Linked DNA regions of Ovis aries. The protein of the gene in region 2 interacts with the protein of the main gene of each other region in a biochemical or structural test. Links are inferred from orthologs where the notes say so. Each region holds a gene or a part of one and is shown on either strand. Other genes may lie near its edges.

What was found. The genes of interacting proteins can lie anywhere in the genome.
Region 1: of the proteins of IKBKB (region 2) and NFKBIB, one has a biochemical effect on the other in vitro, tested with the Homo sapiens proteins (2 studies listed by BioGRID). The link is inferred for Ovis aries from reciprocal best matches to the Homo sapiens genes IKBKB and NFKBIB.

Annotation. Positions count from the first base shown.
Region 1 is NC_056067.1:47,987,698-47,995,368, reverse strand, and holds the end of NFKBIB (NF-kappa-B inhibitor beta), read right to left. Parts: intron 3,696-7,671; coding exon 3,590-3,695; intron 3,509-3,589; coding exon 3,175-3,508; intron 2,415-3,174; coding exon 2,326-2,414; intron 2,236-2,325; coding exon 1,963-2,235; intron 1,212-1,962; coding exon 1,116-1,211; 3' UTR 1,069-1,115; downstream 1-1,068. Other genes in the region: CCER2 (coiled-coil domain-containing glutamate-rich protein 2), read left to right, coding at 1-16, 644-733. UniProt on the Homo sapiens protein: Inhibits NF-kappa-B by complexing with and trapping it in the cytoplasm.
Region 2 is NC_056079.1:36,497,755-36,505,425, forward strand, and holds part of IKBKB (inhibitor of nuclear factor kappa-B kinase subunit beta), read left to right. Parts: intron 1-72; coding exon 73-182; intron 183-1,150; coding exon 1,151-1,200; intron 1,201-1,285; coding exon 1,286-1,385; intron 1,386-1,558; coding exon 1,559-1,706; intron 1,707-3,291; coding exon 3,292-3,419; intron 3,420-4,744; exon of another isoform or gene 4,745-4,817; intron 4,818-5,659; coding exon 5,660-6,116; 3' UTR 6,117-6,811; coding exon of another isoform or gene 6,812-6,877; 3' UTR 6,878-7,671.

The sequences.
Region 1 (7,671 bases), on a different chromosome or scaffold from region 2:
GGCTTCAGACCGGGAGGTGAGTGGAGGCGGCAATGGGGGAGCAGGGTAGACCAGATGTCAGTGGACATCCTACCAGGTAGCCTCCAACAGCAACATCCACCACGAATGGGCTGACACAGGGAGCAGGCAGCAACATCCAGGCGGGGCCTTCCCCCGACCAGGAGGGCTTCCATGCCTGCTTCCCGTTCAGCAGCCAAGAGGCCCCCCTTATTGCCCAGAAGCGCCAGAGTTAGCTACCATCGCTAGTCTGTGACCAGTGTGTTGGCCCCACGAAAAGCAGCAGCCTTGCCCAGTTCACTGGGCCTAGGCGCACACCACTGGCGCGTCGTGGAAAGCAGAGCTGTCACATGATCAACAGCAGTGACAGAAACGGCCCTCACCTCACAGGCGGGTCACGGCGTGCAAGCTGAGCGCCTTTGCTAGTCCTCTGTCCGCCCCACTGGCTATGGCAGACAATGTAGGCCTCACCGCTGGCCATGTTAGCCCACGTGACTCTTCCAGGGTCACTGTCGTAGTCCACGACGACCGGGGAGACCGCTGCGGTTGCCACTGTGTGAACTGACCTGGCCCACATCTGTGGACAGCCACTGAGGTGGCCTGCCTTTGAAGGTGGGTGCTGAGACCCCGCTTCTGTTGCCGCCAGGGGCACGACGTGGAGCGGCTGGAGCACATGAGCGATGAGCTGAAGAAGGCGACGGAGGTGCTGCGAGAGGAGCTCAGGAGGGGGGGCTGACCCGACCGCACGTCCTCCTCCCCCACACACCCTATACGGCTTAGTACCGTTGACCCCAACCTGTCACCCCACCCTGCTCCCCAACCGGCAGGAGTGGGGAGAAGGGTGTGCCTTGAAACCAGGCCTCAGGGGCCAAGTCTGAGCTGGGTGGAGGGGCTGGGCTCCGCCTGACTCAGGACACAGCCCGGATGCCCTAACCCGCTCCAACCCCCGACCCCGAGTGAATAAAGCACAGAGAAAACCACCAAGGCTGATGGCGTCGCACTTGATTTCAGAGGGACGGGCTCAGGAACGACCTGGAGGCCTGGCAAGGCAACCGCTTATCTAGTCACTGGTTGTCGGAACTGACATTTTATTAAATTGGAAACTATTAACAGCTAAGTCAGATGGGGTCGTCAGGGAGCGGTTTTGACGCTGGGGTGGGAGGTAGCTGGCTGGGGCTCCGGCCACTGTGGACTACGATGTCGTCGTATTCATCCTGGGGGCAGAGGGGCCGGGCAGAGGGGCTCAGGCAGCTGCCACCTCGCCCGCTGCCCAAGCTCCCCCACCCACTGTGGGAACCCGGTGCTGCGTCGAAGCCCGAGGTCCCCGCTCCTAAGTCTAAATCCCAGCTCCTAGTTCTCTCACCACCTCTTCCAAGGTCACCTGTGTTCTCCCGGCCCTGCGGCCTCTCCAGTCCTTCAGCCGCCACAGGGAGGTCTCCCCCTCTGCCCCACTTCCTCCTGCCTTTATCCAAATTCCTCAACCCCTGCCAGTCAGTGACAACCCCTGTCCACAGTCATGTCTCGCTGCCTGGGTTCTCCAAGGAAGCCCCTTCACCGCTGGCTGAGGTCGTTCCCCACCGCTGCCAGTGTTCGAATCACTGCTGCCCAAGGTCACCTTCCCGCAGCCTGCGTTCTCCCGCTCTTGCTCCCTGAAAAAAAACCTCCTGCGGCCATCCTCTGCTGCCTGCGTTTACCAACCACTATGACTGAGGTCTTATCTCTCTCTCTGCCTGAGTTCTGCCTCTGCCACTGCCTTCACTTCTCACCTGCCGGTGCCCGAGCTCTCCCCACCACCCCTGTCCAGGTCTCCCCTGATACCACCGGCACGGCTGCCTGAGTTCTCTAATCAGAGCAGCCCCGACGTCAGTGGCTCTCAGTGAGCTGCCTAGTGTCTCCTCTCCCCCTTCCACCTGCCCGCTTTCACCCTGACCTCCCAGCTGGGCCACCCACTCTCTCCTGACTCACGCCCTCATCCCCGCTCTCGCTGTCGCTGCTGCTGCTGCTGCTGCTGCTGCTGCAGGGGCCAGGCTTGTCCTCGTCCTCGGGCTCTGGGGCTCCGTGAGCACGGAGGAGGCGGGCAAGGATGGCGTTGGGCCGAAGCGTGGCACTGCCGAGTGGGGTGCGGCCACCATACATGCGGACAGCGGGGTCAGCACCGGCCTTCAGGAGAAGCTCCAGTACATCAGCTGCTTGGGCCTCCACGGCCAAGTGCAGGGGGCTTCGGCCGCAGGTGGGCTCCTAAGGGGTGCAGCAGAGAGGTCACTGGGGCCCTGCCCAACGCGGGGATGAGCCCCCACCCTGCCACACCTTCTCCGTAGGGTGGCTCACGGGCTTGTTGAGGTCAGCTCCTGCCTCCTGGAGCAGTCGGACCATCTCTGCATCTTTGTGGATGACAGCCACGTGGAGTGGGGTGTGGCCTAGGGACAGAGTGACCGATGTCAGATGATGGAGGGGAGGGCACTGGGCCCCCAATGCCACCATCTTTGGGCAGGGCTTTGTAACCTGAGGTTGATGGACTTTGGGGTCTGACTTCTGCATTCCTGGGTACATCAAAGAGGCCCTGTATTCCAAATCCCTTAAGTCTCAGGTGATCTGGAACTTGCTGGCAGTACCAACGCCTGGGTTGTGGGGTTGTCTGGGGCCTAGGGGTGAAGAGCCCAGGAGCTTTGGACAGGGGACCTGAGTCTCTGGTCTTACTTCACAAAGAACCAGGTTCCAAAATTCCTGGGTCCATGTCCTTGGGGGGTTGAGGTGGTCCTTGAACCCTGGATCCTGACCTTCCACCTGTGGTGGGGGTCTGGTCCCAAGTACTGAATAGTTGGGCTTAGAGATGGGGGAGGGCCCTGGGTAGACAGAATCTATTTTCCCATGAGGTCTGGCTGAGGACAGCTGTCCCTGAATCCCACTATCAGCCTCTGGGAACCTGAGTCGCCAGAGTTTCAGAGGGCCTGGCTTTTGAGTTCCCTTGTCCCAGGTGGGCTGGGGCCTATGGTTCTCAACAACCTGGCGCTGAGCAGGCATCCTTGGTTCTGATGCCTGGGTCCCTTGAGTATTATTATTATTCCTGGGATTATTTCCCAAGGAGCCAAGCTCTGCATCAGGAGAGCTGAGCCCAGAGCCAGCTGTCCCCGCTCTTCTTGGGAGCCTGGGCCCTTCACGGTGACTGGGGACCCTCACCCTCATAGTTTTCAGCCTCCAGCTGCAGTTTCCAGTCCTCTTCACTCTCATCCTCTTCTTTCTCCACGTCAGGTTCAGAGTACAGGGCAATAGGGGTGTGGTCGGTGTCAGGGGTATGGTCAGAGCCCTGAGCGAGGTAGGTCTTGGGGGCTCCCCTGGAGTGCTGGGGGCGAGGCTGGAGCAGCACGCGAGCGCAGGCGTGGGCCCCCACGCGGCAGGACAGGTGCAGCGCCGTGTGGCCTCCACGCTCCGCCACCAGCAAATTGGCACCTGCTGCATACAGCTTCTCTACCGCGGACGCCTCCTCCAGGATGGCTGCCAGGTGCAGGGCCGTCTGCAGGAGCAGAAGGTAGGGGTGAGGGGCCATACTGAGAATCCTGGCCCCCAAGCCCTACGCTGTCCACAGGCGGCTCACCTGGCCCAAGTCATTCTGCAGGTCCAGGTACTCGGTACCAGCTGCAAAGCCTAGGAGGAAGTCCAGGAAGGGCTCATGCTGATGAATCACCGCCAAGTGCAGTGCCCTGAGAACAAGGACCAGGGTCAGAAGGCAGAGGTCAAGTATTCTTTTTATGGTTTGCTTGCTTTCATTTCCAAGGCTAACCATTCAATACCATGGTAATCCAAGCCTATGCTCCAACCAGTAACGCTGAAGAAGCTGAAGTTGAATGGTTCTATGAAGACCTACAAGACCTTCTGCACTAACACCCAAAAAAGATGTCTTTTTCATTATAGGGGACTGGAATGCAAACGCAGGAAGTCAAGAAAAACTTGGAGTAACAGGAAAATTTGGCCTTGGAATGCGGAATGAAGCAGGGCAAAGGCTAACAGAGTTTTGCCAAGAGAACACACTGGTCATAGCGAACACCCTCTTCCAACAACACAAGTGAAGACTCTACACATGGACATCAGCAGATGGTCAACACCGAAATCAGATTGATTATATTCTCTGAGGCCAAAGATAGAGAAGCTCTATACAGTCAGCAAAAACAAGACTGGGAGCTGACTGTGGCTCAGATCATGAACTCCTTACTGCCAAATTCAGACTTAAATTGAAGAAAGTAGGGAAAACCAGTAGACCATTCAGGTATGACCTAAATCAAATCCCTTATGATTATACAGTGGAAATGAGAAATAGATTTAAGGGACTAGATCTGATAGATAGAGTGCCTGATGAACTATGGACGGAGGTTTGTGACATTGTACAGAAGACAGGGATCAAGACCACCCATATGGAAAAGAAATGCAAAAAAGCAAAATGGCTGTCTGAGGAGGCCTTACAAATAGCTGTGAAAAGGAGAGGCAAAAAGCAAAGGAGAAAAGGAAAGATATAAGCATCTGAATGCAGAGTTCCAAAGAATAGCAAGGAGAGACAAGAAAGCCTTCTTCAGCAATCAATGCAAAGAAATAGAGGAAAACAACAAAATGGGAAAGACTAGAGATCTCTTCAAGAAAATTAGAGATACCAAGGGAACATTTCATGCAAAGATGGGCTTGATAAAGGACAGAAATGGTATGGACCTAACAGAAGCAGAAGATATTAAGAAGAGGTGGCAAGAATACACAGAAGAACTGTACAAAAAGATCTTCACAACCAAGATAATCACGATGGTGTGATCATTCACCGAGAGCCAGACATCCTGGAACGTGAAGTCAAGTGGGCCTTAGAAAGAATCACTATGAACAAAGCTAGTGGAGGTGATGGAAATCCAGTTGAGCTCTTTCAAATCCTGAAAGAGGATGCTGTGAAAGTGCTGCACTCAATATGCCAGCAAGTTTGGAAAACTCAGCAGTGGCCACAGGACTGGAAAAGGTCAGTTTTCATTCCAATCCCAAAGAAAGGCAATGCCAAAGAATGCTCAAACTACCGCACAATTGCACTCATCTCACACGCTAGTAAAGTAATGCTCAAAATTCTCCAAGCCAGGCTTCAGCAATATGTGAACCGTGAACTTCCAGATGTTCAAGCTGGTTTTAGAAAAGGCAGAGGAACCAGAGATCAAATTGCCAACATCTGCTGGATCATCGAAAAAGCAAGAGAGTTCCAGAAAAACATCTATTTCTGCTTTATTGACTATGCCAAAGCCTTTGACTATGTGGATCACAATAAACTGTGGAAAATTCTGAAAGAGATGGGAATACCAGACCACCTGACCTGTCTCTTGAGAAACCTATATGCAGGTCAGGAAGCAACAGTTAGAATTGGACATGGAACAACAGACTGGTTCCAAATAGGAAAAGGAGTACATCAAGACTGTGTACTGTCACCCTGCGTATTTAACTTGTATGCAGAGTACATCATGAGAAACGCTGGGCTGGAAGAAGCACAAGCTGGAATCAAGATTGCCGGGAGAAATATCAATAACCTCAGATATGCAGATGACACCACCCTTATGGCAGAAAGTGAAGAGGAACAAAAAAGCCTCTTGATGAAAGTGAAAGAGGAGAGTGAAAATGTTGGCTTAAAGCTCAACATTCAGAAACCTAAGATATTGGCATCTGTTCCCATCACTTCATGGGAAATAGATGGGGAAACAGTGTCAGACTTCATTTTTGGGGCTCCAAAATCACTGCAGATGGTGATTGCAGCCAGGAAATTGGCTTCCCTGGTGGCTCAGAGTGTAAAGCGTCTGCCTGCAATGCAAGAGACCCGGGTTCGATCCCTGGGTCGGGAAGATCCCCTGGAGAAGGAAATGGCAACCTGCTCCAGTATTCTTTCCTTGAGAATTCCATGGACAGAGGAGCTTGGTGGGCTACAGTCCACAGGGTCACAAAGAGTCGGACATGACTGAACAACTTCACTTTCACTTTAGTCCTTGGAAGGAAAGTTATGACCAACCTAGATAGCATATTCAAAAGCAGAGACATTACTTTGCCAACAAAGGTCTGTCTAGTCAAGGCTATGGTTTTCCAGTGGTCATGTATGGATATGAATGTTGGACAGTGAAGAAAGCTGAGTGCCGAAGAATTGATGCTTTTGAATTGTGGTGTTAGAGAAGACTCTTAAGAGTCCCTTGGACTACAAGGAGGTCCAACCAGTCCTTCCTAAAGAGGCTCAGTCCTGGGTGTTCATTGGAAGGACTGATGCTAAAGCCGAAACTCCAATGCTTTGGCCACCTCATGCGAAGAGTTGACTCATTGGAAAAGACCCTGATGCTGGGAGGGATTAGGAGCAGGAGGAGAAGGGGTCGAGAGGATGAGATGGCTGGATGGCATCACCAACTCTGTGGACATGAGTTTGAGTGAACTCCAGGAGTTGGTGATGGACAGGGAGGCCTGGCGTGGTGCAATTCATAGGGTTGCGAAGAGTCGGACACGACTGAGCAACTGAACTGAACTGGGGATTTTTTCTTTGGTGGGTGGAGGGGTTGTTTGTTTGTTTTCCTTCTTATGAGGACAAGCACTCTTGCATTCATTCCTTCAGCAAACATGGAGGACCCACTGTGCAAAGCGTGATGACCCACAGCTCTAGAACCAGCCGTCAGGAATCTGGGAGGGTCAGGTCAGAGTTAACTCAGCAAATTTATTTAATCAATGTGTTTTTTTGTTTTGCTTTGGTTTGGTTTGGTACTTTTTGTTTCTTTGGTGTTTTATTTCATTTTTCTGTTTTTGTTTTTGGCCGCATATGGGATCTTAGGTCCCTAATCAGGGATGGAATCCTCGCCCCCTGCAGTGGAAGCATGGAGTCTTAACCACTAGACCACCAGGGAGGTCTCCAATGTTTACTAAGTAGGACTTCTACTCTCTCCCAAGAAGTAACACGGACCAGGTTTCATGCCCATCTCAAATCCACCAAAAAAATCGACACAGGGACTTCCCTGGTGGTCCAGCGGCTAAGACTCTGTGCTCCCAATGCAGGGGGCTAAGGTTCAATCGCTGATCAGGGAGCTAGATCCCACACGCTGCAACTAAGACCTGGTGCAGACAAATAAATAAACATTAAAAAAAAAACAAAACCTTACAGCACCTAAAATGAAAAATATGCTGGATGGCATTAACAACAGATTACATATTGCAGAAAATAGATTAGCAAACGTCAGGACTTCACAATAGCAACTGTCCAAAATGAAACACAAAGAGAAATATTTAAAAATAGAAAGAACGTCAGTGAGCCATGGGATTTATCTGTATATAAGCAGCCCGATATATCTGTAACTGAGGTAAGCATGGGGCTTCCCCGGTGGCTCAGCAGTAAAGAACCTGCCTGCCAATGCAGGAGTCGCAGGAGACACAAGTCTGATCCCTGGGTCAGAAGATCTCCTGGAGGAGGGCATGGCAACCCACTCCAGGGTTCTTGCCTGGAGAATCCCACGGACAGAAGAGCCTGGTGGGCCATAGTCCATAGGGTCGCAAAGAGGCAGGTACAGCGGAAGCGACTTAGCACACACACACACACACACACACACACACACACCAGGGCCCAACATGCGCATGCACACACACACACACACACACACACACACCAGGGCCCAACATGCATACACACACACACACACCAGG
Region 2 (7,671 bases):
GGTCCATGGTGAGGCTCAGGAGTCCCTGGCCGAGTCTGTCGGGGCTCAGCCTCAGCGTGGCTCTGTCTCCAGGAGAACGAGGTGAAGCACTTGGTGGAGCGGATGATGGCCCTGCAGACGGACATCGTGGACCTGCAGCGCAGCCCCATGGGCCGGAAGCAGGGCGGGACACTGGACGACCTGTGAGTGTGTGCATGTGCCTGCGCGCGGGCGGGCGCACGGGCGGGCTGTTCAAGCGCAGTTCCTCTGGAGCGCGCCCTCCTGTGCAGCCCGGTCCTGGGGAGGTCCTCTCGGCACATCTGGAAGCTGAGCCCGGGCAGACCTCCGTCCCTCTGAGCCTCACCTGAGACAGAAGAGCTGTCTGACCTCACAGTTGTGGGGACCAGTTCAGATAACGCCCCGAGCCATGGTTCGTGAACTCCAAAGCATCAGGTCAGATGCCCCTCTGCCCAGCATACCCCTGAGAAGCAGGAAGTAGGAAGGGAGGGAGCCAGGTAAGTCTTAGAAGGTGGAACCTTGACTCTTCATTTGAGTCGTGATCAGGACTTTGGCCTCAGCTCCAGGGACCCTCCCTGGGCAGAGCAGCCCCTCCTGCATTCCGGGAGCAGACGAGGGCACCAGGAGAGCCTCCCTGGGGCTCAGCTAGGCCTCTGATGCTTCTGCCAGGATTCTTAGAACCGGAGGCTCCAGTCTTTGAAATCTGATTATCTGTAGCCTGTATTTTGTCAAGTTAGTCAGTGTTTTATCTTACTCTGGTTTTCAAACAAAAGTCAGCCCCTGGAAACATCAGTCCATCTCACTGTGTTTGGGCCCTGGGGAGGGCATGTCTGCTCCTGGCTTGAGTTTCAGAGGCCACGTTCTCTGAACTCAGGACCCACACCTCTGAATTGCGGGGGCCAGGCGGGTGGGGAATGCTGAGGGACAGAGGAGGCTTCTGTCCTGAGGACTCTCAGGAAGTCTTGACCATGAGCTTTGAGTTGGCATTTCGACAGTGAGCCGGGTCTTCCTCTGTCATGGGTTTCGCCCGTGACATCCCCAGGGAGCGTGCTTGCCTCTGGCCAGGACGTGCTGCCTGCCCAGCTTCCAGAAGTTGCTGATGCTGCCGGCAGTAGCTCTGGCGCTGATGGAGCCGCTGCCTTGTGTGTTTCAGAGAAGAGCAGGCGCGGGAGCTTTACCGCAGGCTGAGGGAGAAACCGAGAGGTGAGTGGGCCGCCTCCCGGGTCCCCTACTGCCCGGGCACCAGACCGGCCCCCCACAGACCGTGCGGCTCCGTCCCGCTTTGCAGACCAGCGGACTGATGGTGACAGTCAGGAAATGGTGCGCCTGCTCCTCCAGGCAATCCAAGGCTTTGAGAAGAAAGTGCGAGTGATTTACACGCAGCTCAGGTATCAGGCCGCTGTCCCCTTGGAGGGTGGAATGAGGAGAGGCCCCATCCCCTCCCCTGGGCCCTGGAGGAGCTGCCAGCTGCAGTGGCCGAACAGAGTCATCCCCGCTGGGGCCCGCGTCCTGCTCCCCCTGACCTGGGCGCGCTGGAACTCATCGCACTTGGTCTTCACAGTAAGACCGTGGTCTGCAAGCAGAAGGCCCTGGAGCTGCTGCCCAAGGTGGAGGAGGTGGTCAGCCTGATGAGCGAGGATGAGAAGACGGTGGTGCGGCTGCAGGAGAAACGGCAGAAGGAGCTCTGGAACCTCCTGAAGATCGCGTGTGTGAGTGAGCCCCGGCGGGCCTGTCCTGGAGGCGGCAGGGTTGGTGTCCATGCATCAGCTGAGCCGGGCCCCTTCGGGAGGCTCAAGGGGAGAATCCCTCCTCGCCACTTCTCGGACGCCACTGGCTCCAGCACTCCTTGGCTTGCGGCAGCATCACTTCAGTCTCTGCCTCTGACCCCGTGTGGCCCTCTTCTCTAGTCTCTCCCTCTCTTTAAAGTTTGTTTCTTTTTGGTGGCACTGGGTCTCTGTGGCTGCAGCCGTGCTCTCTCTAGTTTGCGGTGAGCAGGGGCTGCGCCCGAGTCAGCGGCGCGCAGGCTTCCCATCACGATGGCTTCTCTGGTTGCGGAGCACGGGCTCCAGGGTGCGCGGGCTTAGCCGCTCTACCGCACGTGGAGTCTTCCTGGACCAGGGGCTGAACCCGTGTCCCCTGCACAGGCAGGCAGACTGTCATCCGCTGTACCACCAGGGAAGTCCTCTACTGTGTCTCTTGTAAAAACACTTGTCCCTGGGTTTAGGTCCCACCCAGATAATCCAGAGTGATCTCATCACAGGATCCTTAGCTACATCTGCAAAGGTGCTTTTTCGAAACGAGGTCACACCCCAGGTTCCTGGAGACCTGCGTGCAGCCCCTGAGCCGTGTGCCTGCTGGGCCCTGAGCCAGGCCTGTGCCGTGCAGCGCTGAGCCTGCTCTGCGAGTGCCCACCATCCCAATGTGGCTGTGATCCCACTGAGTGCTGCTCAGAGAGAAACCGCAGCACAGAAGAGACTGGAGAAGAGCCAAGAAAAGCTTGGAATCGAGCTGGCAGGCAGCAGGGAGGCTGAGGAGGCTGATGGCAGAGCTGCTTGGCCACGGGCTAGGGAGGCCTGCTGCTCCAGGTGCGCCAGCTGCCGCAGCCCAGAAAACACCTCGGCCTCTTCTGCTCCCCAGGTGGCGCAAGTCACGGGAAGTCACCTAGGACCTTCTTGTGTTTCTCTTCTTGGGAAGATTAAACACACCTTCCTTCTCGTTTCCTTGTAAGGGTTTGTTGAGCAATCCAACTAATGAGATAGAAGCCTTAGGGCCTTCCCTGGTGGTCCAGTGGTAAAGAATCCACCTTCCAGCACGGGACGAGGGTTTGTTCACTGGTCAGGAAACTAAGATCCCACATGCCACAGGGCAACTAAGCCCTCCTGCCACAACGAGAGAAGCCTGTAACTGCAATCAAGAGCCTGCAGAGCCAAAAAACACAAAATTAATGGCCAGTGGTTGATGAAAAAAAAAAAGAAATAGAACCCTTAAATTTCTCTGTATTTAGAACCCCCAAAATTTAAAATTAAATGGCCAATGGTTGATTAAAAAAAAAGAGAGAGAACCCTCAGATCTCTCTGTTTAGAACCCTCAATCAGAAAGTTACACCTGCAGATCAGAAGCAGTTTCTAAGCTGAAACGCAAAGCATCAGACGGCGATGTTGCCTGATTTCTGCAGGAAGAGCATGTGTCTCGTGGCCAGGTGTCTTCATGAGAAAACACCCTGCCGCGGAAGCAGAGTCTCAGTCATCCCTCTGCCCCTAGACCGCTGACTCTCGTTCTGGTTTTGCCCTCTAGAGCAAGGTCCGGGGTCCCGTCAGCGGGAGCCCGGACAGCATGAACGCCTCCCGCCTGAGTCACCCCAGCCAGCTGATGTCGCAGCCCTGCGCGGCTCCTGACAGCTTGCCCGAGGCTGCCGAGAAGAGGTGAGTCCTCATCCGCGGTGTCCAGTGCTGAAGTCCGGGGCGCGTCAGGAGGTCGTGGGCGTGGAAGCACGGGTCTCCTGGTGGCGGCGCCATGCACGCCCCTTGGTATCTGTCCCCCGTGCCGGGCACCGTGGGCGTGGATGTGGTGTGTTGCTCACAGCACTGCTTGTGGCCTGCCCAGCCAGGTGTCCTTATCTGAGGCCGAGTTGCTCTTGCTGGATGGGAGCCTTCCGTCCAGTGCTGGCCAGCCCTGTGCTGTCCCCTCATCCATCCCCTGCTATCTGCTCACAGAAGCAGGTCCCTGAGGGTGTCCTCTGGCCACCGCGCCCCAGTCACACATTGCCGGTCCGTCCTGTGGTCCCTCCTCCCCCCACCCCCCGCTCACCCCTCGCCGCCCTGCCTGTTGCGCACGCCCCTGCTGCAGAGCTGAGAGTGCAGCCTCAGAGCCCTTCCCATGAGGTTTTCCCTCTCTGCTTCCAGCCTAGTGCTGCCCCCAGGCCCCCTCTGGTCAAATCCGTCTTCATGGGAGACTGTTTTGATCGAGTTATTCTCCTGGATACTCAGGGACCAGCCATGGCAGCCAGCTGCCTCGGGGCCAAGGCTGAGCCTTTCCCAGCCTCCAAGCGTCCTCTCCAGGCTCACCCCCACTCCCAGGCAGCTCCTGGCTCTGCCCGAGGGTCTTGGAGCCCGGTCCAGACCAACAGCATCAGTGGGTTCTGGGCTCTCACTGGACATGCAGGTTCGGGATCGGCAACCCCGGGTAACCAGGCCGGGCCGACCCCCCTGCATCCTGGCGCCCCGGGTCCTTGGCTCTGCTGACGCCCTCCCTGGGGTGTCTTCCCTCCGCCCTGGCCCTGCCTCCCACCCCCTCCACGGCCCAGACACACACGCACAGATCTCTGTTCCCGAGACACCCGTGCGGCTTTTTGTTTCTGGCTCAGCCTCACACCCATTCTTCAGGGCCTTCCCTTGCTGGGCCCCAGGCGCTGGAGACGGTGAAGACTGATTCCCAAGGGCAGGTCTACAGACTAGAGAGGAGACCTGGTTGCTGAGGGAGAGCAGTGACTGACAGCGGGTACAGGGTTTCCCCTTGGGTGATGAAACGGTCGAGGACCAGACCTCTGCGATGGTTGCACGACGCTGTAAGTGCACCAGAAGCGTGTGGTCGTGCACCTTACACGGGTGAACTTTATGGTTTGTGAATATATCTCAGTAAAGCTGTTTTCAAGAAGTCCTGTTCCTGTACTTGGGGAGTTTGTATTCTCTATTGTTGTGGGTTTTTTTTTTTCTATTTCTCTTTTGGCCTCTTGGCTTGCAGAATGTATTTCCCTGAGCAGGGACTGAACCTGGGCCCTCGGCAGTGAAAGTGCAGAATCCTAACCACTGGACCACCAGAGAATTCTCCGTGTTGGATTCTTAATTCTCTCCCCAACTTCCAGTTAGCTCCTTGAGGGTGGTAACCGGGTCCGGGGCTCTGGGGCCAGCCCAGAGCCTGGTGCCTGGGCAGTGGCCAGGCAGTGGATGAGTCTGGGCTCTGCTCCTCCCACTAGCGCCCCCTTTGCGGTGAGAGGAGGAACTGCGGGGCCCTTCCTGTTGGGTTTGTCCCCGCTCTAGGAAAGGCGTCCTGGGGGCTCAGGTTGCCATCTGTCTGCCCACGTCCTGGAGCTGAGGTTAGAACAAGACAGATGGCTTGCTTTGCTCTCGCCTTTCTCAGCCACGGCCTGTTCTCGGGACGTGTGCATTTCTTATCGTAGAGAAGGTGGGACGTGTGCATTTCTCATAGGAAAGGCGAGAGTGCAGCAGATGAATTAGTTCCTAGAACACGCTGCTCCCAGTCTGAGAGCTGAGGACACCTGGGGAATTCTCGCGGTCTGTATACCTTTATCAGTTTCAAGAACTGTGAAACAGGTGATCTGGGAGAGATTTTCAGATTGTGGCAGTTTAGAGAGAGCCTAAGAAATCCCTTTGGCTCTGAACTTTTTTATTAGGCCAGACCTCTGCTTTCTCATGTTGTGAATGGCGATGCTCACGGCTGGGTTTGAGCTTCCATAACAGTGCTCAAGAAGAACAGATGAAAATTGCCGAGGCAGTGTCATATATTTTAAGACACTCAGTATCAGAATAATCGTTCAATTTTTAAAATCTTTCCAGAAGCCCTTTAGCATACTTGTACATAGTAATATATTTCTTTTGAAAAGTTCACACTGACCACGTTCTAATAATCCAGTCGTTTTCTTTAGTGACGACCTGGTGGCTGAAGCTCACACCCTGTGCACCCAGCTGGAGAACGCCCTGCAGGACACCATGAAGGAGCAGGACCAGAGTTTGAGGGTAATGGCCCACGGGGAGCCCCGCTGCTCCACACCTTTTCTTTTCTGCAGCAAACGAGAAGCTGAGAGAGAGGCGACGCCCTGCCGCCTTGATCTCAGTGTACACTTGGGATTTTCTGGTACAACCTTCATATTCATCATGATAACAGGGCTGACGACTGTTGAACGAGCACAGGTACCTTACGTGCTCTGTCTCCTCTCATCCTCACTGTGCTTGGTCCTTATGAGGCCGGTAGCATCCCTGGGAGAAGGCCTCTCTCCCGCTCTTCCCTTCTGTGCAGTTGCTGGGCATGCGTGTGAGAGGTGCGGTGCTGGGCTCCAGGGACAAAGCTGTCACCACCCCATCTCTCAGGGACTCGGAGCTTAGGGACTCAGCAAGCCCAGCTCTAGGGAAGCTGATCTAAAGAAAAATGAGTCCAGGTGCAGAGACATCGAGGCAAAGCTGAACTTTCTGAGAGGATGCTTAATTGTTCGCTTGGGTCTTTTAATGGCCATTTCCTCCAATACAGTCCCGCACTAGCGTTGCCGAAACTTCTCGGTTTGGGGAAGGATCGGAGGGGTCACTGCCAATGGTAATCACCTCTTATTTCTTCAAGTGCCATCCTGCTGTTTGGGGCTTTCCGTGTCTCCTCCTTGGTACTCTTCCTCCTCTGGGCCCTGTATGTTTCGACCCTTGCACTGCCTATGTGCTTCTGCCAGAGGGAAAGGAAGTCTGGCCAGGCGGTTCCACCTGGTTAGCCTGGAGCTGGAGAACTAAGACGAGCCCTGGGCACCTGGGTGTTCAGTGAGCATAGGTCAGTGCTGTGAGCTGCAGGAATCACACTTAAATCGCTTGGCCAGAGTCTCCAGGGGCTCTCCAGGGGCCAGGGGCTCCACGCCCATCTGAAGATAAGCTCCTGCACGGTCTTGAAGACATAGCTCCAGCTCTGGGGTCCCTTGCAGAAACTCGACTGTCAATGAAAGGCTCTAGCCTTCCTTCTAAATCATGCTGGTTGCCTCCCAAAGAAGAAAACCAGGTACCTGGGTGGCCACAGGGTTGTTAATGAGCCCATTGACTTTCAGTCTCTAGACTGGAGCTGGTTGCAGTCGGAGGAGGAGGAACAGCAGGGACTGGAGCGGGCCTCGTGATGGTGGGCGGCCCTGGCCCCAGTGGGCTGCCTTGCCCAAGGCCCCAGCGTCATCGCGCCCGGCGTCCTTGGCACCCAGACAGAGATCACGCTCCTCCAGCAGCCATGACGGTCGCTCTGGACTGAAGGCATGGCCCTCCGTGGGCACAGCCAGCAGCTCGTCTGCTCGCTGGATTTCCTCTGCTGCAGAGGCCCAGTGGACGTGGATGCCGGGGGGCGGCGTGTAGGAGATGTCTCCAGGGCCGCCACTGCCCCTGCGAGGGGAGAGGAGTGCTCCAGGCTCAGCGGCCACACCCGACTGACTCCCAGGACGAAGTCTGAGCGGCGCTCGGTGCCAGCTGTCTCCTCCTGACCCCTCCTGCTCTCCAGAGGAGGTCTGTCTGCGTAGCTCGAGTTTCTGGATTCGGCTTCTCTTGAGCAGACCTCCAAACCCCGGATCCTGCCCTGTCCCATCCTCCTTTCTCCTCTGATCTCACTGCTGCTAACGTTTGTCCTTCCACCTGCGATCTGCAGCCAGGCTGCGGTCCTTCCAGCCAGCGTGACTGGAGCCAGGAGGGAAAAGCATCTCCCTTCCTGCGTGTCCCAAAGAGTCCCTGGGAGCGAGCTGCCTTGGAGAAGAAGGAAAGACGGAAAGGATGTCTGTCACTCATGAGCCTGTTGACCCCCTGTGCCCACAGCCCTGCCCCGTGTGCGGCTGTGGGGGGTGTGGGGGAGGTCCCGCCCCTCGTATCCTCTCGCGGTATTATTTAGTGAATGTATTTAAAAAACAGATTCTCTATTTTGCAACATGACTCA